Linked DNA regions of Arabidopsis thaliana. The protein of the gene in region 4 interacts with the protein of the main gene of each other region in a pairwise test. Each region holds a gene or a part of one and is shown on either strand. Other genes may lie near its edges. The genes, in order: AN3, GIF3, GIF2 and WOX14.

Region 1 (5,046 bases), on a different chromosome or scaffold from region 4:
AAAATGAAGTCTAGTAGAGCAGGCATGAAGCCAACATGTCAAATACATACTTGGGGCCTATGGTGGTGCGGTCTAAACATTTAACTAGTGTTTGTGACATATTGTTTCAAGGCTTATAGTTTTGCCAAAGGGAAGGAAGTAATAGAATAACTGAAGACTTCTCTTGGCTTGTGATTGAGTTGTAAAAAGCAGGGGCTGGGCTTGGCCTCCTAGGGGAATCCAGACACTAGAAAAACAATCGTCGATGGAACTCTCAACTAAGGGAAATCCACACTCAATACTACTTGAAGAATCTAGGACGAAGCAAAGGGACCAAAAGACACATTTTTGAAACCCTCTTTTCTTCACGAGACTTTATCTTAAATGGACCCGAATATGGTCTTTGGTTTGAGTGCAGCTTCGGGTGGCTATGGTCCGGTCTTCAGCAGTATGGGACCTTGCGAGGACCACTAAGGCTGGTCATATGAGTCTTGGACTGAACCGGTTGGACTTTATCAACTATAAAATAAAATTATGTATAACAGCCAGAAAAAAAAAACAATAATATAGCCTACATAACGATTTAGAATCCAAATAGGTAACATCAATGATCTACAAAACTTCAGTCCTGGTTAAAGCAAAAGAGTCTAACTCAGAGAAATAACATATTAAGATTACGACACAACTTGGAGCCAGCAGATTTACATGGTACACTACCACGAAAGAGGTTCACTGTTTTAGGGAACAAACATAGAGAGAATAACAAAACTAAAAAGAAGTAAATAAAGAGTTCTTTGCTTCTTCAACAAGCAACTAAAACCAAAACACACTAACTTCAAGACTCCTATTATTACTACTACTTCTTCTGCTGCTGCTGCTGCTTCATCATTAAGATTCCTTGTGCCACACTCTTTCAATTCCCATCATCTGATGATTTCAAGTAAAGGGTTTCTCCACCATCCCCTGAACTTCCTCCTCTGCCTTCACCGCCACCACCACTTCCCATTTCCGGCTTCCCACGGCCAAAATCATGAAACCCACCAGCCTCTCCCTGAAGGATATGGAGACCACTGCTTCCTCCTCCTCCGCTGCTCGAGCTCATTCCAAGCTGGCTATGGTGCAATTGCTGATGCTGAAGCGTCGCGTAAGGCTGCTGCTGCTGCTGTTGCTGAGCATACAACATTGAAGATCGAGCCGCCATTAGAGACTGCTGAGTCATCTGTTGCTGTTGAGTCGCTTGTTGCTGCTGCAAATAGTGTGACCCTCCTTCTCCCTGAATCATCCCACCACCAGCAGATCCATACTAATAACCAAACAAAACAAATCACTTTCTCAATTGATCATACAACAAAATTTGGAATACTTCACTGTATAAACAATCACCTGGCTATGCACACTTGGTGGCTGAGGCTGAGAATCTGCTATTGCAGCTAGGTACATTAGGTTGCGTTGAAGCCTTGCTTGATTCCTATAACCATTTTAATCATCATTTCTTGTTACTCAACAGAACACAAGTGAAATCATAAAGGAGATATGTTGTCTCTTACTCGGCGCATTCGCTAAGCTTTCCAGAGTTTTGAGACTCAACAATCTTCAGAATCAACGATTTGTTTTCGTCCAAGTACTACAATCAAACATTTTCATTAATCATTACTAATGCTACAAACAAAAAATTTGCATACTATTTTGTTTTTGTTGTAATAAAGACATAGAAAATCTCAAAAGGAGACCCCAGTAACTTAAATTCCGACTTATCTCAAAAGACAATAATGTTGAAATATCACAAAAGTGTAACGAAAGATTTTCTTCGAAAAGATTTTGAGGACCACACAAAAAAAAAACTGAGATAAGGACCAGATGTTGTTTCGGACCACAAAGTATATCTGGTCATGTAAGCAATAAAAGAAACACTTGGACTGGAAAATACACATAGATCTACTTATAATGATAACAAATCTAAACAGGACCACCCACAATATTCACATAAATGGCTTTGTGGTTTTTGCCATCAATGAAACTTCCAGAACCCGAAAACCAAGACAAGAAGAAAAAACGAGATATGTGAAACAAATCTTCAGTTCCCAAGATTTGTCTGTTTTGAACACGTTATTTTTCATTACATGTTTCAAGAACTCAAAACACAACTGGACCCTAAACATTCATTTTCATTGAAAGAAAGAATCTTTCTTAACTTTGTCTGGTTTTAGACATTTAATTAGCATCAAAGTTAACTGATAATACACCAAATCTATAAGGAAAAGAAAAAAAGTTGAAAGAATCATCTTAGTGACCAAAGCATCTCTACCAACCAAATTTATCAAACATAAACACACATGTATTAAAACTAATTTCTCTATGAAAAAAAAAGACATGGAAACAAGAATAACAAGAACTCTTTTACCAAACAAAAAAGAACCAATGAAAAAAAATCATCTATGTTATGAGAACAGAAGAAAAGGGTTTCACATACTTTTTTATATAATATAAAGAAAAAGTTATAAGGTACTTGCAAGAGAGATTTCTTCACTTTCCTTTATGAATTCAAAGAAACATATAATAAAGAAAAAAGAAAGAGATAATATAATAGAAGAAGAAGGAGAAGGAGGAGAAGGAGAAGAGAACCTGTTGGATATGATCAGAGGTAACATTGCTGGGGTAGTAACCAGCCATCATGGGCTGCATCTGCATCAGGTGCTGTTGCATTTCTTTTGCTATTTTATATAAAACCTGATAATTCCTTCTTATTTATTTATATATTTTATATATATAAGTTTTTATAGAGACAACCCCCACCACAAAACCCAGAGGAAAAAGAGAAGTCTCACCAAGTGAGAGAGAGAGATATTAACTTTTGTATCTGTCTCTCTCTCTTTCCTCTATGCTTCTGTATATAGAAAACTCTTAACTATTGAAGATGTGTATCTCTGTGTGTGTGTTATCTCGCTTTCTCTCCTCCACAAAAGTTGTTTTGCGTTAAAAGACTGAGAGAGACAGTGAAGTCTCTTAAATAGAAAGAGAGAGAGAGAAGAGAAGAGAGTGTTTTTCTCTTTTTCTTGGGTTTTGGGGTTTGGTTTTGTTGGTTTCTTTCTGTCTCATCCTATCTCTGTCTCTGCGAAGAAGAGGAGGTCACGTGACGAGTCATACTTTATTATAGAGACGTGAGACCTTTACATATATACTACTACTTATCAATATGTACACATTGTTGATTAAATTATTACTTTGAAGTTTGAACCCTTCGTATATAGAGACGTAACTATATACCAAATAATACTGTTTACTCCTTCGTATGTATATACGGTGTATTTACTTGTATATATATGTAATTATGTATATTAAAATCTCTTACAACTTTTGTATAATATTTTCTACATTTATAGATTCATTTCGGGATTTTATAATAAAGTAATGCAAAGTAGGATTTATTGTTTTCTAGATTGTTTTGGTAATTTATTGTTTTCTAGTTTTCTAGTTTTCTTTTACTATATCAAAGAATATTTTTGTCGTCTTATTTTGTTTTGGTAATTAATATATAAAAAAAAGATGTCTTTAGTTTTTCGAAAAATAAGATTCATGTATTTACATTTTAATATAAAAAAATGTTCTACATAGGAGTTTTTAACCTAGTGGATTGAATTTGTATTTTTTTAATAATTTATTATATTTAGTTTTACACAACATTTTTTTTACAATGGTTTAATTTTTTATCATGAGAGGTCACATCTAGATGCGATTCTTCACATTTAAAATAAAATGGATTAATGAAAAAATTAGATTAAGAAGTAGCTATGTGAGATAATTTTCTTTGTAGATGTTTGATTGTGTTGATCAAAAGAGTCTCTTCTCTCTTATACCTTAAAATCATATTTATAGGATTTAATCTCAACCAAATTACTGAATTATGTTGTGACTTAGTCTTCTTATGCGGATTAGATTTGGCATAACTAGTTCCCTAGAACATGTTATCAAAACAAGTGTGTTTGGTTTGTTAGCTTAATGATGTTTTTCATTTTGTTTTAAAAGTAGCGCATGACTCGTCTCGTCTCATCACTAACCATCTTTATGTGTTTTGGCAAAATGCCAAAATGTAAACACATTTCTTACGCTTACCAATAGTTATCTTCTTTTTTTTTTTGGTCTTTTTTTTTTATCGAATCACGTAACACATTATAATTGACTGATATCTTAATAGATGAAATTTATCCTCAACAATGATCAATACATGTTTCTTTTTTTTTACATATGTTAATACTAACTCGATCACTTGTCTCGACCAATAAGACGAGTTATCGACCATCAAAACACTGCCCTAACTTGGTTTGAATGTTTAATATTGATGATTCTCAACCAAAGGGTCTCTAAAGTTTTTGAAATGCTTTTGTAAAGAAAATAATAATAATTAGTTTGGAGTTATTTGATAAGTCTCATTAACTTTTTGTTCGAATTCTTGAAGTACGTTTCGATGGTCGGTAATTTAAAAAGAAAAAGATTCAACAGCTATATTATCTTTGCGTGGTTATACTTAATTCCACGTTAAACCCTCTTGTAGATGTGGTTAAATATTAATTAACACTTTATTCGTTGGTACCAAAAATGGATCCGAGATATTCCTTCTGCATATATGAACCACGGAGGCTCAACTTTTAATGTTTGTTTGTTTAACTATAGTATTATGTATGAACATTAAAGTAATCTGTAAGGATAAATGAATTGTTTTCTTTTCCCGATTAATTATGTCTTATAGACAATAACCAAACCAATAGTGTTTCTATGCCATCTAAAAGCAAACCAAAAACACTAGGAACAAAACTAAAAATACCATTTCTTCTTTTTTATCAGACCAATATAGTTGTTTGCATACTGTAAATTGAGATTATGAAGTTAAAGGTAGGATTCTGAAACGCTTACAAATGATCAATTCATTTTGGTTAATACCTAAAAGAAATATTAAATTTTTACGACATTAATTTTATACTACCTTATTTTCTATATAACAGCCATAAATTTTATAGTTAATGTGAGGTTGATGTTGAATCCTCTTACATAGAGAAAAGTGTTGCAGCAACT
Region 2 (4,325 bases), on a different chromosome or scaffold from region 4:
ATATCTATGTACTTCAGGTTAAGGATGTCGAGAGCTACATACATTATCGGTGCCCTTGCGGGATCTGCGGTAGTAGCTTACGTGTGTGACAAAGTTATTTCTGATGATAAGCTTTTTGGAGGCAAGTTTTAAACCTTATAAAGCTACTTATGATGTATCCAGAAAGCTAAATTTGGTTTGGTTTGTTTTGAACTCTCAGGTACTACACCAGGAACTATTACTAACAAGGAATGGGGTGCTGCGACTGAAGAGAGATTACAAGCATGGCCAAGAGTTGCTGGTCCTCCCGTCGTCATGAACCCTATCAGTCGCCAGAATTTCATCGTCAAGTCACGTCCTGAATAACTTTTGATGCCTTCTCGTGCATCGTTCTCATTCGTTATGGATTCATTTTCGAATATCTGCTCTTTTGTGTTTGATTTGAGGATCGGCTGATTGCTCTAGCTGGTTATAGTAATAATTTGTGTTGATGCGTAACACATTATTCGGATCAAGCTTTTCCCCGATGCATAACTTTTGTAAGGTTTGTTGATTTTGACGATAAATGAAATCGAGCCAAAAAGAAAAACTTCTAAGACATTATTGGTTTGTTTGGTTTGGAATTTTGTTATCGCTGATTCTGTAAACATTTTTAAAACTGTTACTTTTCATCTCAAGCCTTGGAATTAATTATCACACAAACCTGGAGGCAAACTATCAGGTAAACGTGATTCTAAACCCGGTTCATACACCAAATTGAACCGGTGACACTAATACCATACAACAACATTTAACATTGTACATGTGAATGTGAACCATTCCACATCCATCTAGGAACTGAAACTCAACTGTCTCAGAACCCTTTTAACAGAGACTAACTCATAAAATGACAAAACCTTTTTTTTATATCATCGTGAAGAAAGTAAAAATGAAAGGTAGAACCTAATTGATATCAACAAGAAGCATCACTTATTCTTCCTCTATTTCATTTTCCTTCAGTTTTTGCATCACCACCGCCATGTCTAGCGGCTGAGCCACCTTGCCCATCAGCTCCACTCTGGCTCATATTGGTCCCATCCGGTTTACCTCCTCCACTAGCATCGTTAGGACCCGCTTTTGGTAGAGAAAGAAGGTGAAAATCAGTAATGTGATAATAAGTTCCAAACTGCTGTAAAACCAAATATTACCATTGTTTGCGGCAAGAGCAGTTTCATGGTGGTGCATTTGATGTTGCAGTCCGTTGTTATTATTCAAACCCATTGGTCTAATCCCCATGTGCCCTTGCATAGCTTGTTGATGTAACTGTTGCTGCGGATCCAGAAACTGATGCGGGCTACCAAATTGCAATGGACCTCTAGGAGGGAAAATCCCAGGAGGTATTTGTTGAGCCATTCCCACAGCTTGATGTTGCTGCATGAAGTAGCTTGGTGGTGGCTGCATTGATGACGGATTAGGAGCCATCTACAGAAACCAAACACACACAAACTATAAGAACCAAAATGTTTTGTTTTTCAACTGATCAAAACAGAAACTTACTGCTTGGGGAGTCATGGCTCCTGATGTTAGTGTAGCTGCTGGTGGCTGAGGTTGAGCATCCGCAATTGCAGCGAGATACATCAAATTCTTCTGGAGAAGAGCTTGATACCTAAAAGAATCAAGCAAGAACCATGTTTTATTATTAATATTCTATTTACCATCAGTAAAGCTAACATAGCTCGGTCTTGGTATCGAGAATCCCACACTTACTGAGCACATTCTGCAAGTTTACCGAGGTTCTGATTTTCCAAGATCGCCATTATCAGCTTCTTGTTCTCATCAAGATACTGCAAGAAGCAGCAATAAGTGACTCACTGTGTCAACATGTCATCTTCACAATCTGATTTTAAGCTTTCAAATCTCATATGCATACAAATACTCTGTTTTCACTCAAAAAAAAACTCCAAACTCATGATTGTACATCCAATTCCAGTAACAAAAAAAAGTTAAAGCGGAAAACAATGACACTTTAAAACAAATCATACTCAAGAAGGAAAGTTCATTACAACAGTTTAAACTACTCAAAAACATCATTACACAACCAATTTCAAAGCTACGATAAACAGACATTATGACTAAACAACAGAAAGACAAAAAATATAGAAAGTAAAGTAGTAACCTTTTGGATCTGTTCGGTGGTGATATTATTGGTGGGCGGAAATGAAGGAAGAACCATCGGAATCATCTGTGGAGATTGCTGCATCTTTTATAATTCACCAATCAAAACTCTGAAACAGTGAAACCCTAAAGTTTCTTCTCACGATTATTACAAAACAATAATTCTGAGTGATAGAATTGGTTTAAGAGCCCAATGCAAAACAAACTGATGCAAAAATATTCAACAAACGAATATTTTGGATTATCCTTAAATTTAAGACTTTTGATTTGTTTGAATTTCGCCGACGAGGTTTCTGGGAAATCGTAGGACAAAAAAGTCCCCCAACCAATTAATTTGTCTCCCCCACCGAATGTACACGTGGCACCTTGTCTGATTTTTCGTCAGCTCTACGATAACCAAAAAAAGACAACATTTGTAGCTGTTATTATTTATTGGGCCTGTTAATGGGCCTTATAAAGAATTATGAAAGCTTCTGTGTCAAGAAGAAGGTTACTTTAAATCTGTATCAATATCAGCTCCACGACGGCGATTCGTCGTTGTCCTCCGAACCAAGCAAACTCCGATCCCTCACCGTGGCTCCGGATATTTTACGGCGGTTGTTCCCGGCTCGGACTCGAAGAATTGTCCGGATTCTCCCTTTGACCAGGCTGGAGATGAACCTTTTCCGGTTCTGCTCCGGTCTGAAAGTCCTCGGCTATTTCATGATCCTTCTTGTCGTCGCCGTCGTTGGTGTATCTTACTACGCCGTCGTAGTTAGCACATGGTGGCCGATCTTGATCCGCGGAGACCATGGAGCTTTATCCGCCCTCGCTGCCTTAATCATCTTTGTTTTCCATTTCCTGGTAATTTCCAAGTCTCATAATTTCAGATTAGGTTTTGTTTCTGGAATTGTAAGTCTAGGTTTTCTGCTACTTAACCCCTAAACCTTAAACTTAGGGATGTGGCATGAAACTTATGTAGCCAAGAGAATGAGAAATGCAATGTAGTTATGAAGCATGAAGCAGTGTAGATACATAATCATTGTTTAGACCATTGATTGTTAGTAAATGTTTAGGCTCCCTGAGTTTAGGTTTACAATTATACTTCTGATTTGCTTGGTTCTTTGCAGCTGATAATGCTGTTGTGGAGCTACTTCACAACAGTTTTTACAGACCCAGGTTCTGTTCCTGAGCATTTCAGAAGAGAAATGGGAGGTGGTGACAGTTTGGAGGCTGGTACTTCGACAGATCAAGGAGCTTTTGGCTCTTTAGGTTACTGTACCAAATGCCGGAATGTTAAGCCGCCTCGTTGCCATCATTGTTCTGTGTGTAAGGCGAAATCTGATTTGTTTATACTATGTTCTGCTTGTGTTTCTACTGATAGAGAAAGAAAGCTTTATTCGGTTCTTTGTTTCCTTATGTAGGTCAAAGATGTGTTCTTAAGATGGATCATCATTGTGTTTGGATTGTAAACTGTGTTGGAGCACGCAATTACAAGTTTTTCCTTCTCTTTCTGGTAAATATTCATTTCCATTGTAGTCTCTTATGGTTCTTAAAAGGTTTAAGCGAGCATTGGGATTATTTGATTTGCTGATTTCTTCACCCTCTTTTTTTAATTTGTAGTTCTATACTTTTCTTGAGACAATGTTGGATGTTATTGTCTTGCTTCCTAGTTTCATTGAATTCTTCAGCCAAGCTATAAAGCATTCTTCTTCTCCGGGTAAACTGGCCTCTCTCGTTCTGGCATTCGGTGAGTATAAACGGTTCTTTTTCTCGTTTTCCTTTTCCCAGAAAGTGCTTAGCTTTTTTCTGGGTCTCATTTTCCGTCTTTATGTTTCTTACAGATTCTATCCCCTTGATGCAGTTCTTAACTTTGCGTTCGTTCTCAGCCTTCTTTGTTTCGTAGTCATGCATATTTCTCTTCTCTCATCCAACACTACTTCAGTTGAGGTAAATCTTTTATGTTCTTGCTTTCACAAACAATCTAAGTCTTGAAAATATGAGTCTCTTCTCTGAATCATTGTCTTATTTTTTTAGGTTCATGAGAAAAATGGAGAAGTCAGATGGAAATATGACTTAGGAAAGAAGAAAAACTTCGAGCAGGTGAGATTTTATTGTTTTCATCATTCCATGGATTGTTAGTTAATTAAATATATAACTCTTTGTTTTCATCTTGTGAAGGTTTTTGGGAAGAAGAAGGCGTTTTGGCTCCT
Region 3 (3,976 bases), 7.1 Mb from region 4:
TTACCAAAAGATCTACACGGAGGAATCCGAAACTGCGATTACAAGGAAGGACTAACATCAAAGTCGTCACACTACTATACTGCCAATTCAAAAGGTCACTAGGATTTGTCTTAATGTTTTTGATATCAAATGCGTCATTTAATACTTCTAAGGATTTTATGGTGAAAGGAATCACATACGCACCATATTTCTCCATTTGTCCTTAAGATCGGAGGAATTACGAGTTGTGTGGAATATACCTTTTCCCATCTCCAAAATCTTCTTCCAAGGCATGTTTTTGTTGATTGTATCAGAAAATTTCTCCACTCCCTCCTATCCAAAATAAACATATACTATAAGTTTAAGCTAAAAGTGTATTTCAAGAAAAAAGTGTGGTGGTTTTACCCTCAACATCTTCTCTTCGTTGACTGTCCATAGTACCCTTTTTGGCTGATCATTAACAACAGCATAAGCTTCTCCGCAAGATTTCTCCATATCAATGAATTGATCTGTTGACTCGTCTAACTGGGAATTTCGAGCCTTAAGGTGCTTGACCAGTTCTTGTAATTGATGAAGGTTCTCATGTAGTTGCATTGGTAGTGAATTATCAGAACCATTCTCTAGTTGACTGTTTTCTCTCGTCATGACTATATCTCCACTCCTCAGCTCACTACATCCATATTGAACAAGGGTCTTCGCAGCTGCAACACCCCTTGTTCTCAAAGCCGTGGATCTAGTAGCTTGCTCCTTAAACCAACAATAGGGACAGTAAAAGGTTGCAGGATCTTCACAATCAAGCTCAACACACTTCCTGTGAACAGCGAGAGGGCATTCATTCCCAGAACAAGGTACTACACCATCGTCTGCAATATCGCATACAATACATGCGTGTTCGTTCAACGGCTCAAAGCTTCTGAAAGTGTCACTTGTCCCAAGGTAGTGGCGCTTCTTAAGAGGCACATTATCATAAGTGAAAATGTTTGGAGCAGAGTTGACGTCCTCATCACCACCATCATCACACTGAACAATACAATGAGCAATGCGCTTTTCTCTCACAAAGCCAATTTCTTCAACAATTTCACCTATCTAAGATAGAGAAGAAGATAAATCCAAGTAAGAGTGTTTACACAAAATTGAACTAAATCGACCAATTTAAGGTTATCTAAGACCAATTAAGACATAATTTGTTCTAATTACACAGTAAAAAATATCAAATTGTTCTCTAACGTATCACAAGCGACATCCGAGTAAAGACTAAAATTCGAGAAAAAATAAATTAAAGGTTTCTTCTAAAAGGGGTGCTTACATAAGGACTCTTGAGGAGAGCGATATCATCTTCATCAAGCGGGAGATCACTCACCATTTTTTTTCAGATTCCGAGTGAAGATTTGAGAAATTCGAAGGGTTTACGTGAGATTTCTTAACGAATAAGAAAAAGAAGCTACTGTATGTTACCGTTTGGTCTCTCTGTAAGTGTGTCTGAGGTTTCGAAATTTCGAATTTAGGCGAAGAAGGAAGAAACTGACTCAATGTAGTACTTTGCAATGTAACTTTCTCGATGGTCCATGGGCCTTAGAACCGTCTTAGGCCCAAATATGTCCTTTTTTCCCATTGGCCCAAATATATCCAAAACTTTCTAATTTGGTTAGAGGTTGCTCGTTGCTGTATTAATTAATGTTTTATGTTTTCGTTTAGAGTTTTGTAAAGACAAATTAGAGAGAGAGAGAGAGAGACAGAGGCATTTTTGGTCATAAAATCCACACAGAGGTGGTTCGACATCCAGGTGAATCCAAGTAATAAATTGCAGGATTCTCTCTCTATAATATATATAGATATAGCTTGCAATCATTTCCTGCGTTTGGATCGGTCTGGGTTTTGTCGAGGGTTTTTTGGGGAAGACGAAATTAGGGTTTAGTTGGGGCAAAGTAAGTAGTAAAGAAGAAGAAGATGCAGCAGCAGCAGTCTCCGCAAATGTTTCCGATGGTTCCGTCGATTCCCCCTGCTAACAACATCACTACCGAACAGATCCAAAAGGTTCCTTCTTTCTCACCCTATATCTCTCCCTCTCTCTTAATTTGTTCAACACTACTTAGGAGGCTCTTAGAGCTTTTTTGTACTGACAAAATCATTGGCTTCTGAGTGCAAGTAATACTCTTTTGACTGTAATTGGTGGCAATTAGGGTTTTCATTTGAATCTTTCTCGTTAATTCCACAACACTTGAGAGTCTGTTGTTGGTGATGATGAGAAGAGACAGTTTCTAGGACTAGGAAATTAGTAGATGCTTGGTGGGTCAGGAAACTTTGAATCCGGTTTTCAAGAATGGACATTGAAGTTAGATGCTTGCTTGATGTTGTTGTTTTGTACTTTCTCTTGGCTTGATGTCTTCCATGGTAAGATGATAGGCTGCATCGTCATTTCCTTGTCATTCTCTTTCCTTTGCTTAAACGCAGTACCTTGATGAGAACAAGAAGCTGATTATGGCCATCATGGAAAACCAGAATCTCGGTAAACTTGCTGAGTGCGCCCAGTAAGTCTCACCTTTTCTATCCATCTTCTTATGTCTCTTAGATAGTAATGGAAGCTTAGAATTACTATTATTAATGGTGAGGTTTATATAGTTATTCTATCTTTTGCTCTGTTATATTTTCAGGTACCAAGCTCTTCTCCAGAAGAACTTGATGTATCTTGCTGCAATTGCTGATGCTCAACCCCCACCACCTACGCCAGGACCTTCACCATCTACAGCTGTCGCTGCCCAGGTTGTTTGTGATGATAAAACTCAATTGCGATCTATCACAGAAATTTAATGTTGTTTGGGGGTTTGCTTACTGTTGGGTATGATTTCTGTTAGATGGCAACACCGCATTCTGGGATGCAACCACCTAGCTACTTCATGCAACACCCACAAGCATCCCCTGCAGGGATTTTCGCTCCAAGGGGTCCTTTACAGTTTGGTAGCCCACTCCAGTTTCAGGATCCGCAACAGCAGCAGCAGATACATCAGCAAGCTATGCAAGGACACATGGGGATTAGACCAATGGGTATGACCAACAACGGGATGCAGCATGCGATGCAACAACCAGAAACCGGTCTTGGAGGAAACGGTAACTCTCTTTACATTATTAAGACAATACTCAATCTCATAAATTGTAACTTGTATCCATTACTTCTTTCTTTGCTAACAGTGGGGCTTAGAGGAGGAAAGCAAGATGGAGCAGATGGACAAGGAAAAGATGATGGCAAGTGAAAAGGATCCAAAGAAGCTTTGTTTTGTTGATATTTAGGACTTGTGAGTCTCGTAAGGGCTTTTTGCAATAGCTTGTTTGAGTTTTTTAACAGAAGATAGACTGTGGAGTAGTTCCGCAAACCGTGTTGTAATGTATTGTTATTTAGTACAAGCTCGGATTTAGAAAACATCGTCATCGTTCATCTTATTCTGAAAATCAAAGCATTGAACTTATTATTTTCTCATTCCGGACGAGTCTTGACGATGAAATTCTGACGGCTAATGGGATTCATAACAACGGGAGGACCAGCGGTTCTTGGCCATGCTTGGAATTTCTCATCCGTTGCTGCCCACCATTCTTTGTTAGAGACAGTTCCTGGAGTAGTCCCTGAAATTTTCACAAGAAGATAACCATTAAGATCGTCCCTAACTTGAAAACACACACAAAACTAGATAAATCTTGAGCAGAACTTGCCTCCAAAGATCTTATTATCAGAGATAACTTTGTCGAAGATGTATGAGATTCCGAAAGAACCGATGAGAGCACCGATTATGTACTTGGCTTTACCTCCTGATGCCATTTTCTTCTAAAGCTGAAAGTGAACCATTATTACAACTTAACACTCAACTCACAAGAGGAGAAGCAACAAAGCTTATGTAAGGATTTAGTATTAAGGCCAAAAAAACACAGATCAAATTCAATTATTGAAGCTTTACTTATCAAGTTATCATATAACCAATGAAGACGGTAATTCAAAAGAAAAATAAAA
Region 4 (3,907 bases):
GAGAGAGTTGTGGAGGAAGACGAGCTGGTCGCAAAGAACGGCGTAAATGGCGATTTGCTTACGAAGAGTCTCCATTTGTTCATCCGTCATTACTCTACTACCATACCTACCGTTTAGGCTCTCTTGCTCCATCTCCTCTTTCACCACTTTGCCTTCTCCTCTCTCCTTTTTACCATATGAAGAAGACAATGTGGAAGTGAAGGTGTTATGTATTTTTCTTTTTGAGAAATCTTTAGTTATTTGTTACCGTTAACTTTAAACAATTTATGGAAAGATGTCAAACTAGGATCAATTGTCTGATTTTTTTTCTTTTTCAATTACTAGTTAATTGAGGTAATTTTGGGATTCAATTGGATAAATAATTGATATATATTCTAATTGTGTGGTCATGTAACCAATATCCGATTTTATATGATTTTTTGTGTGATAACAATAAATTTAAAAACAATGAAAAAAGCTATGGTCATGACTAGGATCGGTTATTATGGTCAATTGCTTCTACTCTTTAGTGTCATTTGAATTGAGATTTACCGGTCAAAATATCAACCGAGTTTAAGATGGCATCACTTTTCTTTCTGATGCTGAAAAAGATGTGGGCATATATATCAAGTTGAGGAACACAAAATTATAATAAAATTGAAGACTTGTTGTTAATGTCACACACAAACACACACAATTCTATTTTATGAAAACAGAGTAAAAGAAAACAGAATAGATTAGAGATCTTCTTCATCGAAGTCTATACGAATTTTAAGTCTCCATAAATTTCCCTATACTCAACAAATGCTCAATCCCTGAAACCACAAAAAAAAATGCAAACTCAAACCAAAAATAAAAAATAAACCTAACCAAATGTTTAAAAACTCAAATGATCTTTTTACCTAAGTCAGGACTTGGGAAGAGTATATGCTCATAAGACTCTAATCCCCCTGAATCTCCACAACTCCTCCTTTCCTCCGTTGTCACCGCCACATCGTCAGCCTGACCATTAGCTGTCGTCGTTTGAGGCTGCTTTCGTTTGGACCGAGCTCGCCGGTTTTGAAACCAATTGTAGACATTTGTCTCCGTGATCTGTCCATGTTCAGACAGCTCCGTCGCGATCTCTCTAATCCTCCGTCGATTCGGTGTTCCACTTCCTTCGTCGTAAATGCTCTCAAGTATCTGAAGCTGTGTTGAAGTCGGAGTCCACCGATGCCTAGTCGATATCCTATGAGAACTTGACGATGCCCCCATCGGATCAAAGTATCCGCCAACCATTGGCCTCACTCCTTTTTTACACTCAATCATTATAAAAAAATAAGTGACGTGACCCTTAAGTTTCTTCCATGTACAAAATATGTATTATCAAAACCACAAAGCACTAATAACTCAAGCTTCTTAAAAATCGGCCACGACATGATAACCCTCAAATCAGCTTACGTCTAGAGAAAATAAACATTAATAATATATTGAATTGTTCGATCTAAGCAAATCATAAACTATATTAACAAATATCTTTAGCAATGATAAATCGATATCTAAGCGGTAGGTAAACTGTCTTCGAATGTCTAAAACATTATGAAATTTGATTCAAAGTTATGCATCGAACACTGGGAAAAAAAAAGCCTTGGATTTCGTTAGTTGTATACCAAACGCAAACACAATTTTCACATTTTTACACTAAAGTCTCAATGGGTCAAGTGTATTAATGGAAACAACGTTTGCATCGCAAAAAACGCTGCGTTTAAACACTTTCGTCTTACACACTTCTTCTACCGTATACAAAGAAGCTCATCAAATGGTCTCTTGTAAAAAAATCAAATACATAGAAAAGTGATTGTTGTTAATCAGGAACAAAAACAGAGAGAAGTGTACCTGATGAGAGTGGATGGTAAGAAGAGAGGGAGTTGTGGAGGAGGACGAGTTGGTCACAAATAACGGCGTAAACGGCGATCTGCTTACGGAGAATCTCCATCTGCTCCTCAGTCATCACTCTCCCACTATACGCACCGTTTTGGATCTCTCTATCCATCTCCTCTATTTCTTTGCTTTTCTCCTTTTCCTTTTTTTTTTTTACCATATGAACAAGACAATGAGAAAGTGAATGATATATATATTCTTTTGTTTATGAATAAAGGGATCTTTAGTTTATTTGTTACCGTTAAATCAAACACTTTTTGGAAAGATGTCTTTGTTTAATGATCAATTGGACCAATTTAATTTTTACAGTTACCAGGTTTATTACATTGGTTACATATTGAAAACATTGGAGAACTATGGCCTTTCACTAGGATAGATTTTGGTCGACGGTATTCACAATTTTTTGTTAGAATTTCAACATTTTAATCGAGTTTTACGGGTCAAGATATCTACCATTTGAAATAGAAAAATGTGCTAATCCAAAATATGTATCTAAGAAGATCTTAATCCTATGTGTTGATGACATAATAAGACACCACACTAATATATAAAAACAACCTAATTAAAACCAGGTATTGTTGTTACATCCGTAGAGGAACACAAACTGTGTATCTTACTTTATGTATATAGTGGTTAGGTAAAGCCGGAAGCAAGGCTTAATCACAGCATTATATAAAATATTATCGTTGTGACTTATGACTAATGATTAAACTATTGATGGAAAAAGAAGAGCATGCTTTCTTTCTTTTTCTAAGTTGATTAAGAAGAAAATGTACGAATTTGACCAAAAAGGTTCTTTGATATAAAGATGTTGACTAAAAATTTATAACATAAGTGAGACTATTCTGCTGCTAATACGCAGATTTTCACTAAAATCTTCACTTTTGTCAAAAATGATCAAATTTTTTACTTATTTCTTAAATCAAACGAAGTAATACAATCCAAAGAGAAACTCTTAATTAAGCTGATGCAAACCATTTTTTTTTTTCAAAAGATGAAAAGAGAACCAAATGATCATGGCGTTGGTAATTTGGAAAATTCAAGTATAGCCTCAAAACAATTTTACCAACCTGTGTCTAAAGTCAAATAACTAAATAAAAAGTGAAAACATGGTTTACTCTTTGTGGAACACATTGATTAAGAGCGTGATTATGCAATAGGACTCACAACCCCAATATGATTTAAGTAAAAACATGGTTTACACTAATATTTTTTTCAGGGGTATAAATCCTCATATCAACTAGAAACAAAGAGTCTAAAGAGCATTAAAACGTAGAGGAATTAAAAACTAAATCATTCATTATATAGAGCTACAAATCTCTCATTTCACCATCTAAACATTCTACATTCACTTTTTCCATTACCCGTAGAATCAGTGGGAGATAGGTAATAGTTTACTAAAACGAAACATCAGTAAGAAAAAGAAAAAGAAAAAAAAAAAAAACCACTTTAACCACCCGAATTAACATTTTAAGAGAGGAGATAAAAACATCCGAGAGATTCCTTGCAGCCTTCTATATTACGCTACCACAACTTCAACTTCTTAATCATCGTCTTCCTCCTACATCACATGTATAACAGAGTTAATACAAAGCTTTACTGATTCATACTACAGATATTTAGATTGCAGAGGTGTAAAATAACTTACCTCTTCACTGCCATCCTCAGCATCATCCTCATCGTTAACCTCTGAAACTGACTTGTCAGATTCCTCATCTTCCTTAGGGCCTTCCTCCTGAAACCACAACACACCACCATTATTCAAGCACCCCCATTAACCAAATTACCAGTTGCTTGTATCATCATTGTTTAGAATAAACATAACTCAAACTTCAATATATAGTAAACAAATTAAGAAAGCCTTGAATAGTGTGACTACTGACTAGTATAAAGAGAGTAGACAACTCAATAACGTGGTTAATATAAACATAACATAGCCTTCTATATGCAAATAAACAATTACCAATTTCTTGTTGTAGGCTTTCATGTTCTTCTCATACTCAACCTT

Evidence for each region.
Region 1: the proteins of WOX14 (region 4) and AN3 interact in binary tests that used the Arabidopsis thaliana proteins (3 or more experiments, as listed by UniProt).
Region 2: the proteins of WOX14 (region 4) and GIF3 interact in binary tests that used the Arabidopsis thaliana proteins (3 or more experiments, as listed by UniProt).
Region 3: the proteins of WOX14 (region 4) and GIF2 interact in binary tests that used the Arabidopsis thaliana proteins (3 or more experiments, as listed by UniProt).

What each region holds. Positions count from the first base shown.
Region 1 is NC_003076.8:10,646,939-10,651,984, forward strand, and holds AN3 (SSXT family protein), read right to left. Parts: upstream 3,125-5,046; 5' UTR 2,683-3,124; coding exon 2,602-2,682; exon of another isoform or gene 2,450-2,601; intron 2,438-2,449; exon of another isoform or gene 1,604-2,437; coding exon 1,527-1,603; intron 1,448-1,526; coding exon 1,363-1,447; intron 1,283-1,362; coding exon 893-1,282; 3' UTR 529-892; downstream 1-528. UniProt on the Arabidopsis thaliana protein: Transcription coactivator that plays a role in the regulation of cell expansion in leaf and cotyledons tissues.
Region 2 is NC_003075.7:355,568-359,892, reverse strand, and holds GIF3 (GRF1-interacting factor 3), read right to left. Parts: upstream 2,549-4,325; 5' UTR 2,219-2,548; coding exon 2,135-2,218; intron 1,803-2,134; coding exon 1,726-1,802; intron 1,625-1,725; coding exon 1,516-1,624; intron 1,441-1,515; coding exon 1,167-1,440; coding exon of another isoform or gene 1,093-1,166; coding exon 965-1,092; 3' UTR 556-964; downstream 1-555. Other genes in the region: ATOZI1 (monopolar spindle protein (DUF1138)), read left to right, coding at 25-121, 200-345; AT4G00840 (DHHC-type zinc finger family protein), read left to right, coding at 2,788-2,976, 3,243-3,441, 3,537-3,628, 3,736-3,862, 3,977-4,062, 4,150-4,215, 4,294-4,325. UniProt on the Arabidopsis thaliana protein: Transcription coactivator that plays a role in the regulation of cell expansion in leaf and cotyledons tissues.
Region 3 is NC_003070.9:70,657-74,632, forward strand, and holds GIF2 (GRF1-interacting factor 2), read left to right. Parts: upstream 1-1,700; 5' UTR 1,701-1,926; coding exon 1,927-2,013; exon of another isoform or gene 2,014-2,258; coding exon 2,259-2,360; exon of another isoform or gene 2,361-2,430; coding exon 2,431-2,507; intron 2,508-2,630; coding exon 2,631-2,739; intron 2,740-2,831; coding exon 2,832-3,084; intron 3,085-3,165; coding exon 3,166-3,227; 3' UTR 3,228-3,440; downstream 3,441-3,976. Other genes in the region: AT1G01150 (Homeodomain-like protein with RING/FYVE/PHD-type zinc finger domain-containing protein), read right to left, coding at 184-312, 385-1,065, 1,286-1,342; AT1G01170 (ozone-responsive stress-like protein (DUF1138)), read right to left, coding at 3,449-3,594, 3,682-3,787. UniProt on the Arabidopsis thaliana protein: Transcription coactivator that plays a role in the regulation of cell expansion in leaf and cotyledons tissues.
Region 4 is NC_003070.9:7,180,710-7,184,616, reverse strand, and holds WOX14 (WUSCHEL related homeobox 14), read right to left. Parts: upstream 2,060-3,907; coding exon 1,855-2,059; exon of another isoform or gene 1,288-1,854; coding exon of another isoform or gene 1,269-1,287; coding exon 882-1,268; coding exon of another isoform or gene 865-881; exon of another isoform or gene 795-864; coding exon 751-794; 3' UTR 561-750; downstream 1-560. Other genes in the region: WOX10 (WUSCHEL related homeobox 10), read right to left, coding at 1-132; HMGB3 (high mobility group B3), read right to left, coding at 3,424-3,460, 3,548-3,627, 3,857-3,907. UniProt on the Arabidopsis thaliana protein: Acts redundantly with WOX4 downstream of the TDR/PXY receptor kinase to regulate procambial cell proliferation and differentiation in vascular tissue, independently of any role in vascular. Involved in the regulation of gibberellin (GA) biosynthesis pathway.